Linked DNA regions of Drosophila melanogaster. The protein of the gene in region 2 interacts with the protein of the main gene of each other region in a biochemical or structural test. Each region holds a gene or a part of one and is shown on either strand. Other genes may lie near its edges.

Region 1 (6,963 bases), about 13 Mb from region 2:
ACAAGAAGGAGGAGCCCGATGAAGTCAGGGATTCGTGCACCACATGTCCCAAGGCGACTTCCAAGACCTTCTTCACTTCGCGCAGTTTTAGCTTTCGCCGTCGGCCCAAGCCCACGCCCACTCTATCCTCTGCCTCCGCTTCCACGACGTCTCCTTCGGTGCGGATGAACTACAAGATCTGCTGCGAGCACCGGCATTCGATTCAGGGCAAGCTACCCAGGTACACGGGCTACATGTCCGAGTACGGACTGACTGCCCAGCAACTGCAGCGGCGCGACCAGCAACTGCGGCGGAAGCAGCGCTTCTCCATGGAGCAGACCATCAATCGCAACGAGCAGGAGCTGAAGAAGATGCAGGACAACGAGCGCGCCTTCACCACCTGGCTGAAGAACAAGATGCGCTATCCGATCAACAAGACCCGCAACATGTTCGATGCGCACAAAAGGCGGGGTAGTGTGGCCGCCGCCGGAAGTCCGCGCCAGCATCCCCAAGCTCATCCGCATCTGCACCAGGAGCAGGAGCAGCGCGGCGGACGGCGAAGGCGGCGGCGCGACAGCGGGGAAGTGGAGGTGCACGCCTATCGGCATCTGCTCGGCAGCTGGAACAAGTAGGAGTAATGTAGTTCTTACATTAGTTTATTATATTAATGTATCGTATTATATTTAATTTGTAATACAACTTTTGAAGCGTGACAAAAATGAGTGACGGGGGATTGGGGTGGCGGGTCCTTTAACAGATAGACAATGGTAACAGGAGAGCTAGATTACGAACGGAGTGCCACACAGGCTTGGCGACAGGAACAGCTCCCTAATGTCGCGACTTCTTCGACTTGTGCCCATTGTCGCGACTGTCATCCCGCGAGCGCTTGCGATCCTTGTCCTTGCTGCTGCTCTTGTTTCCGGACGATGAGGAGGAATGATGCTTGTCCCGGCTGTTGTACTTGTCCTTCGACGACTTCGACGGGCTTTAAAATAATCAAGGGAATTTGGAAATGTGTTAAAAGAAATTTCACAAATAATTACTCCTCTGTGGTTATCAATTTTGAGCAAGCGAGTTATGATGCTGTTCTTTTTTTTTCTTTCTTTTTATCAATTTTGCCAGACTGAACAATCATAAATAATTCAACATAAACCCAAACAGAAAGTGGTTGTAAACGGATGGAATTTGGGGTATCCCTATCCAAAACTTGCCAAGCCAACACCAGAAATAAATAATATCAACAAAAAATAACTCTTAAAAACGTCCAATTGCTTGGTTTTTTGTTCCACCAAAGAAGAAAATCAAATTTATAACGAAACTTCCAGTGTGTAATGGTTTGTGAGTGAAAAATGATATGTGAAATGCACTTGCGTTAGGCCGTATGGTTGGGTATTAAGTGTTCGGGGCTTTCGATAACAAACCTAGATGAGCTGCCATGTTTGGAGCTGGAGGACTTTAAATGCGAAGAGGACGAGGAGGAGTTCGACTTGTGCTTTTTACTGTGCGACGACGATCGAGCCTCCTCGCGGTCGCGGCGACTGTGGTGGACGTAAAATGTTGTAGAACGATTGATATAGATAAGAGAAAGGAGATCTCGGATAAGGTAACCCTTAATGGAAACCCGTCCATGATGGGATCGTGGCTCATACCTGTGCTTTGAACTCTTGCCGTGCTTCTTCGAATCGAATTTGCCGTTGCGTGGTTTGTCATCTGCGGCATAATCGTGGTTGCGGTCTTCCTCAGCAGCCTCGCGCTCCAGATCGGACCAATCCTTGCCAGATTCCTCATCAGAGCCAAGGTCCTCTGTAAATTATGATGAAAATATTAACCAACTAGAAGATATGGAATGTTTTGGGTTTGTGCATACCATCGCTTTCCTCGCTGTCTTCTGATGCCTCTGAGTACTCGGAATCTTCGTCCGACTCCTCATCCGATTCGGCGTCGGTGGGATTGTAGGCCTCGTCCTCTTCGGATTCGGCGGTTTCGTTTTCGCCTTCGCTGCCCGATTCCGGGTCCAAGAATGTCCAGCCGCCTTGTTCAAAGAATCCCTCAGGATCGTCGGTGATGGTCTTCATGATCTTTTGCCAGTTCAGGGATTGAACACCCTCCGAATAGCGGATGTCGCAGGAGCTACAGGATACTCATTAGTAAAAGTGCATTTTGCAAATGGGCAGATGAACTTACTTGAGCCACTCCTTCACGTGATCCAGCATGTTCATAGGAATGGCGTTCACCATGGCAACCTTCTTATTGTACTCCTTGAACACAAATATCATATCGAAGTTGCGCAAGTGGAACTGAACGCGCTCGAAGTGCACCAACTCCACATCGTCCAGCGTGATGACAAATGGTGGCCATTCCGTCAGATTGACCAGGGAGCCCGAGGTGGGTTGCAGCGTCACCGTGCTGCGGAAGGGTGCTCCAGGGAATCCCAACTCACGGAACGGCGTGTCGAACTCCACTACCGACTTGGTCATGGTTTCCACCTTCTCGCAGAAGCTCTTGAAGGCAGTCTTGAGCTTGTGCCGCAGCTCACGTTCTGCCTGCTCAGCAGCCAAGTCGTCGCGGTCGTGCATGTGCTGGTGCTTGCCCAGATCCGTGGTGATCTCTCCCACTTCCGTGTAGAACTGTACATCCACGTGCTTCTTTTTGCCAAACATAATGGCGTACTTCAGGTGGAAATGCAGAAGAATGATCATCTCGCCATCGCAGGGCTGGAAAAACGCGCTTTTGATGTTGTTGTACAAGATGTCCACCTTGTCGCCGCGCACGGAGATGTAGCGGAATCCATTGCTGTGCGCTTCCAGGCTGCCCGTCATGCGCTTGGTCACGATGTTGGGCCGAATGTATAGGTCCTTCAGCTTGGGATTACCCTTGTTCTGGGACAGAATGAGTGTGTCTTGCTTCACAAGATCCTCCTTTTCGCGCTCCTCAGCCTCGCGGGTCTTGAAGCGCTTCTGCACCTCCTTGATCAGCCGGAAAGCATTGTTTAGATTTGCGGATGGAGCTCCCACCTCCCCGTGTTCCTTAACATTAGAGCTGCGGTATGTACTGCAGGAAAAGTGTCTAGTTAGTGCATTCCTTAAGCAGATTTCGCACTATACTTACACTTCCTTGACAAATGTGGCCTCTGGCTGAGGATAGAGTCCGCCTTCGTTGCGACCCATTGTGGCGCCGGGATGAAAGAAGTTGATACGCAAGTACGTGTACTCGCCCTCCACCGACTGCGAGATGTTCTTGATGGTGGATATATGGAACGGCACCTGGATGCCGAACACTGGCATGATGACGGTCTCGTACTTCTTATCCACGTAAAGCTTGAGCTCCTTGACTTCCGGCTCGCGCGGCATTTGGCTGATGGACTTGTAGGAGACGGTGTTCTTGCGCACTTTCTCGACCTCCTTCGAGTTTCCCTGCCTGGCCAGCCGATCCTTGGCGCGCTCGTTCAGCTGCTGAGCCAGCTCGCGCTGGTGCTCCTTGCGCTTCTCCTCCGTGTTGATCTCGTTTCGCAGCTTTGACTCCAGCACCGCGTTGCGCTTGCTGCGGCCCAGGATCTCGGTGCCCTGATCTTCTTTAGCGGTCTTCTTGTCGTCCACATCTTCCTCGTCGCTGTCGTCCTTGATAAAGATGCCGACGTTCTTGATCTTCTTCTTGGACGGAGTCATCACACTGGCTGGGGATTGTTCGCCTACTAGCACAGTGTCTCCGATGAAGAGGGCGTAGTTCTTGCCCTCTTTGTCGGTGGCTTCGGGATTGGTCAGATTCGAGATGCCCACGTGCAAATTAAAGACCATATTCTTCTTGAGTAGCGCCTGGCATTTGGGTCCGATGACAATGGAGTTCTCCCGGAACTCTAGGCCCATGGCGAAACCAAAGCTTTTGGGCAGATTGTCCACCATACTCGGCTTCTCCTTCTTCACGAAGTCCAGGGTCTTTTCGTAGACGTCGCACAGCTTTGTGCCCGGAACCAGCAGCTTGAGAATCTCCTCCTGCACACTTACCAGAAATGTGTAGTTCTCCTGCATGGCCTCGGTGGGATTCACCAGAAAGGTGCGCGATATATTTGAGCAATACGACTTGTAGCGGGCGCCCAAGGAGCACACAATCACACCGAAGTGCAAGGGATTTTTGTCCGCCACCGCGGAGAACTTCAGGCTGTAGGCTCCTCCCGATTGGATGATGGGTGGGTAGGCCATATCGAGGAGTCTGGGATCCAGACCACTGGTGTACTTCTTCTCGCCAATGGCAGCCTCGCAGCCATCTGAGAGCTTGTTGTGTTTGACTTTCTAAAAAGGAGGTTAAAAAGGTTAATATATTAGGAAAACACATAATATTATAGCCGCCAGGTGCTCACCCTATCCGAATCAATAATGTCCATGATCTCATCTTTCAAATACTTGTTGAAAATGTCCATTGACACTAGCGATGCCTTGCGTATGTTGTTGATCTCCGACTCATCCTTGGGACACATGAGGTAGGCGATAATAGTGCTAATGTCCACATGCTCGAACTTGGACGCCGTCAGGGATTTCTTCCATGCTTCGCTGAACTCCCCGGGATAGGCGTCCTTGGCGAAGACGCCCAAACGCTTGCCCTTCTTCGAGTTTTGCAGGGCTTTGATGAGCTTCTCGAAGTTGCCCTGGTCCTTGTCCGTCTTCTCGAAGTCAAGATCAGAAAGGATTAGAGAACTTTTGGCCTGGAGCAGAAATCGAAACTCACCCGATCCCTAACAAGCAGATTGATTTCCGGAAAACCTTCTTCGGTGATGTTCTGCGTCTGCTTCAGGAATTCTATTTTCTTTTTGCTAGTGAGAAAATACACGGCATCCGAGCAAAACACTGAGATGGTGTCCGTCAGCTCGTAGCCCAGCAGCCAGAGCTGCAGGGCCATGGACTTGGAGTACATGACATCCTCTTCGACGCCCACGATGCTCATGATGCAGTCCAGATTCCTGAGCGCGTCATCGTGTCCGATGCTGGGAGCCTGCGAAAGACAAAGAGTCCGATATTATTATGCAGTAATCCTCTTTTCCCCAAACAACCTGGTCTATGGGTAATTAATTTCACCACATCTCCCAATCTTTCATTATCGTGACCCGTCTGCAGAGTCTCCACGTGCTCCCCGGTGCTCCTGCGGCCCCAAAAACACGCAGATCGCCGACCGGCGGACAGACTCACCCTCCATTCCGTGTAGAGGCGTTTCACGCGGCGCACGAACGCCTCCTTGTCCAGCACAAAGCTCGACATATTGCCGCCGGATTTGTTACTGTGTATGCGTTAACTCCGCTTAAAATGCGCTAAACGCCAGAAATTGCATTTGCAAATTCCGCCGGATAAAAAAATTGCGCGGCGACCAGATGAAGAAGAAGCAGAATAAGCGTCAGCTCGACGTGAGTGAGACCGCTCTCAAAAATACCGTAATATACCAGTTGTCAATGTAAAAATAGTGTAACCAAGCAACAGTACAGACACGTCTAGCAGGGACTCGAACCATATATGAACATTTTACGCGCTAAAAATTGGTGCACTGAAAAAAATGTTTAAAACTGGATTTAATTAAAAATGTGTCTCGCCAAAAATACATTTTTACATTAAATAAAAGACTTTGGCACAGGCTTCGTTTAAATATAGCTAATTTTATTATTGTTTTCTTCAGTATTATCAACATTTGCAATTACGTACTGTGACGGCTAATATGTGAGTTCGTTGAACTTGATTCATTGGTTTTTAGCAAAGTCTAAGAATTCAGAGCTAGTTTAATTCTTTGTGCCCGCCGGACTTTCGGCCTCATCCGGCCGGGCAACCTGCAGATACTCCTGGATATCGTAGTCGAACAGCTCGAAGTCGTATCTGTGGGGAGGAATTTTAACTTGTAAGTATGCTACCATAATCTAAAAATTTAAATGGATGACCCACTTGTAATACTCGTAGAGCTCCAGCATTTCCTGGCGTGTCAGCTGCGCATAGAACTGCTGCTGGAGCTCGTGCGTCTTGCGGCCCTTGCCCATGTTGCGCCACACGGGCGCTATCACCCGCTTGAGGCCAGTCTTTTCGATTAGATATAATTGATCCTCCGCCAGCGATTCGAACTTCAGTATCATGTCGAACCGGATGAGGCAGGGTGTGCAGAACGAGGTGGCCGCCACGAAGTGCATGTCGATGAAGCTGCCGCGCTTCACCTGGTCGAGCAGCCAGTGCACGAATTCCGGAAACGATGGGAACTTTGTGTTGGCCGCACGGGCAGCCAGTGACGGCTATTGGATAAAATACAATGTATTAGATGCATTCGATGCGTATACTTGATATTGCTATTGCAACAATATCGTGTATACGCAGTGGGTTACAGTCGAAATGCTTACCTTCTTGCGGTAGTTGCGCACAATGCTGCGTCCCAACTTATCGTGGAAGGAGTAGGGCAGGGCGAACACCATCTTGTCCCGATAGGCACTCAACAGCCGCTCGAAGGGATCGCGTGCGATGATAAAGGTCACCGAGTAGTTCTGTGCCTCACGCAGCTGTCGCCCGAAATAGAAAGAGTTTAATTTAGGTTTGAGGAAGGGGATTAAGAACTCCTTTCGAGACGCACCTCGTCGAGGGTCACCCTGGGATAGCGCTCCCTGGCCAGGTTGAGAAGGATCTTCTTGGTTTTGCGCAGATAGCTGGGCGAGTAACCGGCCAGGACGTTGAAGTTGAACATCCAGGACGATGAGGCAGCCTTAAAGACATTGCACCTGCACGGAAAATAAATAGTAAGTTAAGATCCTATTTGTCAAATCCGAATGACACACTAAAATGGAATCGTTGAAGAGTGAATAAAGGGCACACCCACCAGATAATGTGATACTTTTTGTTGACCAAAAATTCCCACGTGTTCGGCGTGTGCCACGCGTCGTGACCTGTAAATAAAACACAAGCGATCAGACCCCAATCCATTTGGCGAATCCAAAGCGAAGGACCCACCCAGGACATCCAGGCCGTAGGCGGA
Region 2 (4,867 bases):
AAACAATAACAAAAACAGTCGGACGGAGATGGAAATAATGGAAACTCGCGGTGCGACGCGTCGCTCACACTCTCCTCCGCTCACGCACACAGTGACACAGACAAAAGACAACCGGCTTTTACTTTTGCGCGCTCTGCACATTCTGCAGCAGGATTTTGAGATTTCAGATGCTGAAAAAGAAAACAGAGCAGCGCTTAAAGAAAGAGCGCTTAGCTGTTCTTCTTCTGTGTCCTCTCCCGCTCCCGCTCCCGCTCCAAACATTTAATTATATAGCATTGCTCAGAAAACAACCCCTCTCCATTTACGGACTCACCAACCAACACCCTCCCTTCATCCAATGCCAATCTCTTGAAATGACACATCTCACCGCACTCCCATTTGCGCTCTTTGAACTCTGCCTCCAACCAAAGTCTCGCTCATCGATTTTTCAGAGTTGCATTCCATTTGCCGTAGGAGCAAGGGAGAGGGAGCAAGAGCAACAAAGAGCGACCGCCATGTGTTTTTGCGTGCGTGTGTGAGTGTAACGAGATCAGTACATCTTGTACTTTTCGGACTCTTGCAGAGTTCACAGCCGCATTGGTCCCGTTCTTTTTGTTTTTTTTTTTTTTTCTTTGACATTTCCCCACGACGGCTCTGAGCGGCGTTTTCAAAAATTTCGCTCTGTTTACTTTTTCACGGCCCAGAAAAGGAGAGGAGAGATGAGGAGCGCTGAGAATAAGGGGGAGCGAAGCGCAGAGTAGCCGCTGTCGGCGTCGCATCAGGTGTTTTCATTTCGCTGGCCGCGCTCTGTTTTGGTCAGTATTTCCATTACGATAGGGCCACGCATTGAAGACGGTCCAACTTTCATACTTAAGCGCACACTTTGAACAATCGACAGAGTGGCGGAAAAGCGTCAAAGTTAAAGTGCAAATGAGTTGTTAAAAAGTACAGTATCGCAATACAGCTCATGAAAAAACTTGCAAGCTCCATTTAAAAGTGCGCCTTCCTAATATGAAATGCTTTAGTTTATAGAAATACGGGTTGGATTCGATACGAGGGAAGCGCACCAGACAGGCTTGCTTATCTTTGGTACAATCTGGACTTGGTCACTATGTTATAAGTTTAAATAAAGATTTGAAGTAGATAAGTCTATTAAAGTCCAGGAACTTTTAATTGAGCGAAGTTTGCTGTTAGACAATCAATCTAGCAATCTAAAATGGTGACATACAAAATACAAAAGACTTAGCTTAGGAAATGGGTTAAGGAAATCAAACCAATCAATACAAATTTAATTTTAATTATCTTTGTATATGTATCCATATTCCCCCCAATATTTCAAGTTCCCCCTAGCCAGAGCCAACTGTACAGTTCTGTCTGTGAAGAAAGAGGTCGCGCTCGTGTGCACCCAACAACAGCAAGAACCAAAAGGCAAGACGAAAGCTCCAACCATCCAACAACTACAACAGTTGCCGCGCTGCTTTTGGCGCTCTCGTTTGCGCTCGCTCTAACACATGCGATTTAAAAGTTGGCGCACCAGCTTTCGGCTCTCCCCTCTCTGTTACACCACCGGGCCCAAAACCACTTTTCTGTCGACCGAACCAACTGGTTCTCTCGCTCTCTCCCTCTCTGTCTGCGCTCTGTCTCTACGTCTCACTCTCTCGTTCTCCGGTGAACTTTGCAACAAGAAAAAGCTGATAAGCAAGATAGACGGCGGGAATGCGGGGGGCGGAGCCACTCATTCAACTCAATTGACAGTGGAAAACTTGTACAAAAATCTCTAGACAACTTTTGGAGCGGAGCGTAAATCTGCGTTATTTATACATATGTATGCATTTGCGTGCGAGTGTCAGTTTCTCTGCGCTCCAAACATTAACCTATTTCTGCGATTGGATTTCTCTGTTTACAAACTGTACGAAACGTTTGAGGTTATGTACAAGCTCTCTTATTGAAAGGTGTTTTAGGCAGTGTTTCCGAACCGAGCACTTACCTTTAGCAAGTCCAGCAGAAAGGGGGAGGCGGCGCACAGGACTATCTTGTGGGCGGGAAAACTCCGCCCGCCGGCGGCCAACGTGCAATCGACGAGGTCGCCATGGCAGCGCAACAATTGGATTGCCGATACGAGGCTGGTGCCGTAATCGCCCCAGGTGAGCGAATACAGCGAATTCATTGGCAGCGACATCAAAGCGGTCGCGTCCAAATCCAACAATTGTTGTTCCTCCCCAGCGTTGCTAGCGTATTCGCTGCTATTTGTCTCCAACACGACGATTTAATGTTTAACGGTTACGGGGAAAATTCTCTTCAAGTTGGGATTTTTCGCAAAAATCCCCTTTCTACTCCTCCTCCACGACGCCACTGCTTTTCCAACTCCCTTTGCTCTTCCTCTTCTTGCTGCTTGGCGCGCTGCTTTCTCGAAACTGAAATGAAAAATGGAAAAGAAAAAGAGTACAGACGTTAGTTATTAGCTCTCTCTCTCTCTCTCTCTTTCTCGGTCTCACTCTCCCGCTCTCGCACTCTTTGGGGGCCAGAGCGCGCGAGAGCGAGACAACGCATGTGTGTAGGCTGCTCACAGGAATTTTGTTGTTGGAGAAGACTTTTTCACAAGGGGACTGACAACTAGTATACAATTGATGTTTCAAAATTCGTTGCTGCCCACAAAAATCACACAAAAATAGCGCGCCACATTTAAAAACGCCAACAGCACACACACGCGCACAAACTCAGACAGACGGACAGCCGACACAATCACATTTTTTAATACACAGTACAGTCAAGCCATGAGACACGCATTTAATTTTTTTTTGTCACTCAGTTATTTTGTTCGTTTTATAATCGCATGTCTCTTGATTTTGTTATTGTTTTCCCGCTCACGGAGCGCACTTTTTTTGTTTGTTGGTTCGGTTTTGGTTTGTGAAATTATCTTCTCACCGGAGCGCAAAAGAAAATTTCAGTGGCTGTGGGTGATTTTGTGCCTTCTCTTTCTCTTGCCCGTACGCTTTTTTCTCCTGCTTGTTTGTCCGCTCGCCAACGTTGGATAACTCGAACTGAGACTGAGTAAATGGTTTCGATCGAATTTCGCTGCTCCGGCGCTGCCAGCGCGGCCAGTTTTTCAGTTCTCTACTCGGGGAGAAAATGTGTAATTTCTGTACTGCTGGTGGTGGTTATTTTGCGTGCTGGTGTGCGTGCGCGCCTGTATCTGTGTATCTATGAGAGAAGTGACCTGCCTGGCAACGCTCTTTGAAGTACAGTTGTCGAGCGGCATTGCCAGATGGAGCGCAGGAAGAGTATTTTTAGGATGGAGAGGAGAGCAAGACGGCAAGACAAAAAAGTCGGCAAGATAGTAAACAAAACTATAAAAGGTGGTAAATATTGAATGATGGAAATATTCTGGGCCGACTTCACGGATGAAAAACACATGTGTCCGACCGGTTGGAATATCAGAGTGCGATAAGAAAAAGGTCAACGGGATCCGTAGGTTCCGGTTCTATAACTATCGGATCCGGTATCAAAATATTCAACATTTTCTTATACTACTCCACTCTGAATAAGCTCAAATTTTACAGTTTAAAAATGAAGGATAAACAATTCAGAACGTTTTTGAATTATTCTAGCTAAGGTATCGAGCAATTGTATTAAAAATAAATTCCAACATTAGCTATGATTAAATCGATAAGCAGATTTTCGTAGAACGAGTCCCTAATCTAACAATTTATTATGTTTGATCACCAAAATCTAGAAGGGTATTGGGTTCAGAATAAATTACTTTCAGTTTTCTTTTTAAGATACCAGATTCCATTTTTCTGGGAACAAGTGTAATGCTACTGAGGGTTACACAGGAATCAAAAGAATCTGATAGGTTTAGATTAAAATAGACATGTATCGGGACTGGGTTTCTCTTCGGTTCCGAAATATTAACAGATCCTGTGAAAGTAATAATAACAAATGGTAGAAAAGCCGGTTCGCTCTTACGCTCTACATTCTCTTTCCCCTGTCTCTAACTCTCCTCTCTCCTTTCGAATCCAATCCAATCACCTGTTACTTTTGACACATCTCAGAGACCGAGACCCTACGGGGTAAAAACATATAGCCAGTCTCATTCTCGTATGCAGATCAAGTCCAGCTTAAGAGCGGAGAGACCCCGCGATAGGGAAGTTAGTCGAATTTGGAATTGAAGGAGAAGGAGAGTGGCACTTCTAGCCAACGCTCAGAGAAGAAAGTAATATAAAGTGAGCGAGTGTCCAAATTTTTAAGATTACAATTTTCTCTGTTATGATGCTGCTGGGCAGGGAAGGGGCCATGAGAAATGCCGTTCGAAATGCCCCTTTAAAGTTCCAATCGGCGTTAAAGCAGTGAGCATGTTTCATGTTTCGTAGCTGGCAATACCAACCAACGGAGCATGATGTGAGAATGAGGGAGAGCGTGCGCGCTGGGGGGTGTTGGTGGTGGGTGACTCGGCAGAGGTGGAGGAATGAGTGCAAACCAAGCACAGTGGGATACAAAACATAAGTGGTAGGAATAGAATTACTATGTAAAATTTTGGAATACATTGTATAACTGGTTTTTGTAAACAAATTGTATAAGCGTTACTGGACTATTTTTTCCATTGGCTAGTTTTTATAGTGCGTTTGGCCGTACGTTAGTTAAAGATTTTCAAATTAAATTTTTGTATTTTATTAAAATGTATGAAACTTTAAAACATTAAAACTTTTAAACAACGCTTTTGTCCCACCGTGCGCCAGCTCGACTGTTTGAAATTCGAACGGCGCGGCACGACTTTTGCCTGGCCTTCCCCACCGCGCCTTATCACGTTGTTTCTATTAAAAAAAACTGAATATACTTGAAACGAACGCAAAACATGAAGAATTCAGCACAAATTTGTTGAAAACAAATA
Region 3 (4,929 bases), on a different chromosome or scaffold from region 2:
ACTTCCTCGTAGCTCTTAGTGCTGTAGAAATACAGGTTCGCTTCGGCCTGGCCCTTCGGAAGCGATTCTCCGGTGACTAGCAGACGGTCATCTGGACTAAAGCAGCAATCTGTTGTGTCGTAGCGGGAGAACAGGTTTGTCCAGGTATGCAGCGGCTGTTTGAACTGCCGCAGATCCCAAAGCTTCATGGTCTCGTCGTTGCTGCGAGTGGCCAACTGCTGACCCATGTACGAGAACACAATGGAGGTGATCTCCGAACCCTTCTGATGCGCATCCCTGACGCAGTGCGTGGTGTTCACAAACATCTTGCGCGTGTCCCACGTCTGAATGGAACCATCCACGCAGCCCGCTGCTATGAGTGTGGCGTCCCTGTTAAAGTTGCATGATGCTGCGTTGGTGCGGAGGCCTCCCTGCGCCCTTGTCTTGATCACCTGCAACTGTTCCTTGGACTTCAATCCCTGCCAGATGCGCAGAGTACCGTCGAGAGCTGCGGTCAGGAACTGCTCCCTGTTAAATGGATGCCAGCAGCCGGAGGTCAACTGTGCCACGTGGCCCTTGGTGCGCGACATGTCCGAGATATACTGGTCGCCCTTGCAGCACTCCAGTTTCTCGAATCCATCGCGGTCGAGGACCTTGGCCTGGGCGTTTCCGGAGATGACCAGGATCATGTCGCCGGTCACGGAGTACTGGAGAGAACGTATGGGATGGTTCTCGCACGGCTGCAGTTGCCGGAAGCTACGCATGCTCGAGTCCATGCCGGCGAAATCCCAGAAGCACATATCGTAGTCTATGGAACCAGAGACCAAGCGGGCACCCGAGGGATCGCCAGCCAGGGCAAGGACAGCGCGGGAACCGTGCTGCATCTGCACCTCGTGTGTGTAGGGTATGCGCTTAGCAAGGCTTTGTTCGTCATCTGAATCTTCATCGGACGAATAATCATCGTCATCGGAGTCTTCGTCTTTGGACGATTCCTTCGTGGCTTTCTCCTTGTCTGTGGTCACAGCTGGTGGTAGGGGACCTATTACGTCCTCCTCTTCCTCGTCTTTCTGGTCATCCTCCTTCGGCTTGGACTCCTCCCTTTTTTTGTCCATTCCCGGGCGGGTAACTCTCGCCTTTTCTATCTGCTCGTTGATGTCGAACACCTTGGCCGCCTTGCGACCAAAGCCACTGATGCCCATCACTTCCTTGAGGTGCTGGCTCTCCAGATCTTCGGCCACGTCCTCGATCTGCCGAATCATCTGCTCCTTGTCCATTTTCTTGAATCCTCCGCCATTTCCGCTGGCTTCAGTGGACTCCTTTGCATCTTCCGCCTCGGTTTCGTTGGATCTTGGCTCCGCAGGAGGTACGTTTACATTCAGTTTGATTTTCCCGAAGGAAATTTTACCGCGTTGCATAGTTTTAAGGCCCCACGCTAAGTGGATTTTCAAATTTTTAATTAAAACTATATTTCTCTGAAAATATGCGGTAAATATTTTGTAAACAAGTGAATTAAGTGACCGTTTATATTCGGACTGTCAATTTGGTATTTTAAAAGATCGAGCGAATTGTTATGGTCTTTAAATAAGCTCTGGCTTGCCCATTAAAATTTTTCAATTTAATAATGACTCATATATTGTTCATGTATTGCAAACAAGATATATATAAACAATAAAGGAAACTGCATTGGAATATTAAGAGTTTATATCGATTGCAATTTAAGAATAGTGCACTCAAAAATACTAAACACACATACGGTCACTCTAATATAGCTGACTGGCGTCTAACCTAAAATTAGGCGCGCAGTGTTGTTTTGTGTCTGCCGGAATTATTGTAAATTGGTGACAATTTCGCAAGGCGGCGTAATACATAGTTGATCTATTATCTTGTTACTGGAGAGGAAGAAGTGCAGGATGACAGACTCTCTGGAGTACAACGACATAAACGCCGAAGTGCGCGGAGTCTTGGTGAGTCGCAAAAAAGCCGGCGTATTTTGTCACATTTCGCATGACCGAGGTTTTCCATTTCCCTGCGCGCAAAAAAGTGTTCCGGACGCCTAAAGATGACCGAGCAGAACATCATCTTCAAGAACACCAAGACCGGCAAGGTGGAGCAGATCTCGGCAGAGGACATAGACCTGATCAATTCGCAGAAGTTCGTGGGCACCTGGGGACTGAGGGTGTTCACCAAAGGCGGCGTGCTCCACCGCTTCACCGGATTCCGCGACAGCGAGCACGAGAAGCTGGGCAAGTTTATCAAGGCTGCCTACTCGCAGGAGATGGTCGAGAAGGAGATGTGCGTCAAGGGCTGGAACTGGGGCACCGCCCGCTTCATGGGCTCCGTCCTGAGCTTCGACAAGGAGTCGAAGACCATCTTCGAGGTGCCGCTGTCGCACGTTTCGCAGTGCGTGACCGGCAAGAACGAGGTCACCCTGGAGTTCCACCAAAACGACGATGCGCCCGTGGGTCTACTGGAGATGCGGTTCCACATACCCGCCGTGGAGTCGGCCGAGGAGGATCCGGTAGACAAGTTCCACCAGAACGTAATGAGCAAGGCCTCGGTCATCTCGGCTTCGGGCGAGTCCATCGCCATTTTCAGAGAGATCCAGATCCTCACGCCTCGCGGTCGCTATGACATCAAGATCTTCTCGACCTTCTTCCAGCTGCACGGCAAGACGTTCGACTACAAGATTCCCATGGACTCGGTGCTGCGGCTCTTCATGCTGCCCCACAAAGACAGTCGACAGATGTTCTTTGTGCTCTCCTTGGATCCGCCCATCAAGCAGGGACAAACGCGTTACCACTACCTGGTCCTGCTGTTTGCTCCCGATGAGGAGACCACCATTGAGCTGCCATTCTCGGAAGCCGAGTTGCGAGACAAGTACGAGGGCAAGCTGGAGAAAGAGATCTCCGGGCCGGTGTACGAGGTGATGGGCAAAGTGATGAAGGTGCTGATCGGTCGAAAAATTACCGGACCCGGTAACTTTATCGGACACTCTGGCACGGCTGCAGTGGGCTGCTCGTTCAAGGCTGCAGCTGGATATCTGTATCCCCTGGAGCGAGGATTCATCTATATCCACAAGCCACCGCTGCATATCCGCTTTGAGGAGATTAGTTCTGTGAACTTTGCCCGCAGCGGCGGATCCACGCGATCTTTCGACTTCGAAGTGACGCTCAAGAACGGAACTGTTCACATCTTCTCCTCCATCGAGAAGGAGGAGTATGCCAAGCTCTTCGACTACATCACACAGAAGAAGTTGCATGTCAGCAACATGGGCAAGGACAAGAGCGGCTACAAGGACGTGGACTTTGGTGATTCGGACAACGAGAACGAACCAGATGCCTATCTGGCTCGCCTCAAGGCTGAGGCGAGGGAAAAGGAGGAGGACGACGACGATGGCGACTCGGATGAAGAGTCCACGGATGAGGACTTCAAGCCCAACGAGAACGAGTCCGATGTGGCCGAGGAGTATGACAGCAACGTGGAGAGTGATTCGGACGATGACAGCGATGCTAGTGGCGGCGGAGGCGACAGCGACGGCGCCAAGAAAAAGAAGGAGAAGAAGTCCGAGAAGAAAGAGAAAAAGGAGAAAAAACACAAGGAGAAGGAGAGAACAGTGAGTAATGTTTGCTTATTATTATAGCTTATGGTAACATGTTTTTATATGTTTTTATAGAAGAAACCCTCCAAGAAGAAGAAGGACTCTGGCAAACCCAAGCGCGCCACCACCGCTTTCATGCTCTGGCTGAACGACACGCGCGAGAGCATCAAGAGGGAAAATCCGGGCATAAAGGTTACCGAGATCGCCAAGAAGGGCGGCGAGATGTGGAAGGAGCTGAAGGACAAGTCCAAGTGGGAGGATGCGGCGGCCAAGGACAAGCAGCGCTACCACGACGAGATGCGCAACTACAAGCCTGAAGCGGGCGGTGACAGCGACAACGAGAAGGGTGGAAAGTCCTCCAAGAAGCGCAAGACGGAGCCTTCTCCATCCAAGAAGGCGAATACCTCGGGCAGCGGCTTCAAGAGCAAGGAGTACATTTCGGACGACGACTCCACCAGCTCCGACGACGAGAAGGACAACGAGCCTGCCAAGAAGAAGAGCAAGCCCCCATCCGACGGCGATGCCAAGAAGAAAAAGGCCAAGAGCGAGAGCGAACCGGAGGAGAGCGAGGAGGACAGCAATGCCAGCGATGAGGATGAGGAAGATGAGGCCAGTGATTAGGGCCATAAACACAACAAATCAATTCCATAAACACACACCACGCTCCTCACACACCCATGTCCCAAATCTAGTTTACATTCGCCTAGTTTAGTTAAGTGCTGCCTGTTGGATACAGACCCATACGTTTTTGTTTAATTAAAACTCAACAACAATTCGAAAGTTCAAGTAATTAAACAGAATTGATAATTGCCCGTAATGATTGATATCTATCGATTATGGTTTCGCTTGACTGGCTTTTGCCACTTTCGTCAACATTATAATGCCACAGTTTGCCAGTTTTTAATGGCTCTTTGGTGAACTTAGTGATGGCCACGTTGACAGAGTTATTCCTCTTGTTTGGGCTGTGGCACATTTTGCAGGCAAGTTCGACCGTAAGCTAGGCCGGCTGGGATTATGAACCGAACACTAGCTCACTTCAGGTCCAAGGAGTTGCCAAGTTCACAAACATCGAGTGCCTGAGTGCGGACGAAAACTTCACCACCGTTTCCCTGTGCCGATTGTACGCCGTAAAGAGGGATGTCGTCGAAATGAGTCTGCGGGCCAACATCCTGCGATGGCCAAAAGGTCCGGTATCGGTGAGTTAGTTTGCAAAGCTAGGGCGTTCCTGAATGCCATAGTTGAATAGCTATCTATAGTAGAAAATGCGAGTCCAAAACACTAGTAATTAAACAACTTGAAACCTATCCATGCCTAAAACCAATTTATGTTTTGAATTAATGAAATAACTATAA

Evidence for each region.
Region 1: the proteins of Trl (region 2) and dre4 form a complex in vitro, tested with the Drosophila melanogaster proteins (one study listed by BioGRID).
Region 3: the proteins of Trl (region 2) and Ssrp form a complex in vitro, tested with the Drosophila melanogaster proteins (one study listed by BioGRID).

Annotation. Positions count from the first base shown.
Region 1 is NT_037436.4:1,870,954-1,877,916, forward strand, and holds dre4 (dre4), read right to left. Parts: upstream 5,360-6,963; 5' UTR 5,226-5,359; coding exon 5,157-5,225; intron 4,963-5,156; coding exon 4,699-4,962; intron 4,634-4,698; coding exon 4,334-4,633; intron 4,266-4,333; coding exon 3,088-4,265; intron 3,031-3,087; coding exon 2,164-3,030; intron 2,110-2,163; coding exon 1,847-2,109; intron 1,783-1,846; coding exon 1,629-1,782; intron 1,518-1,628; coding exon 1,401-1,517; intron 965-1,400; coding exon 808-964; 3' UTR 621-807; downstream 1-620. Other genes in the region: CG13924 (uncharacterized protein), read left to right, coding at 1-611; CG13937 (uncharacterized protein), read right to left, coding at 5,735-5,828, 5,895-6,232, 6,338-6,493, 6,565-6,709, 6,808-6,874, 6,939-6,963. UniProt on the Drosophila melanogaster protein: Component of the FACT complex, a general chromatin factor that acts to reorganize nucleosomes. The FACT complex is involved in multiple processes that require DNA as a template such as mRNA elongation, DNA replication and DNA repair.
Region 2 is NT_037436.4:14,754,938-14,759,804, forward strand, and holds the start of Trl (Trithorax-like), read right to left. Parts: upstream 3,026-4,867; 5' UTR 2,905-3,025; exon of another isoform or gene 2,547-2,904; intron 2,400-2,546; exon of another isoform or gene 2,394-2,399; 5' UTR 2,159-2,393; coding exon 1,967-2,158; intron 1-1,966. UniProt on the Drosophila melanogaster protein: Transcriptional activator that functions by regulating chromatin structure. Overcomes the repressive effects of chromatin by promoting the open chromatin conformation in promoter gene regions, thereby allowing access to other transcription factors.
Region 3 is NT_033778.4:23,805,824-23,810,752, reverse strand, and holds Ssrp (structure specific recognition protein), read left to right. Parts: upstream 1-1,748; 5' UTR 1,749-1,889; coding exon 1,890-1,943; intron 1,944-2,020; coding exon 2,021-3,592; intron 3,593-3,652; coding exon 3,653-4,198; 3' UTR 4,199-4,392; downstream 4,393-4,929. Other genes in the region: CG5543 (uncharacterized protein), read right to left, coding at 1-1,394; CG5539 (uncharacterized protein), read right to left, coding at 4,924-4,929; CG13561 (uncharacterized protein), read left to right, coding at 4,504-4,557, 4,618-4,773. UniProt on the Drosophila melanogaster protein: Component of the FACT complex, a general chromatin factor that acts to reorganize nucleosomes. The FACT complex is involved in multiple processes that require DNA as a template such as mRNA elongation, DNA replication and DNA repair.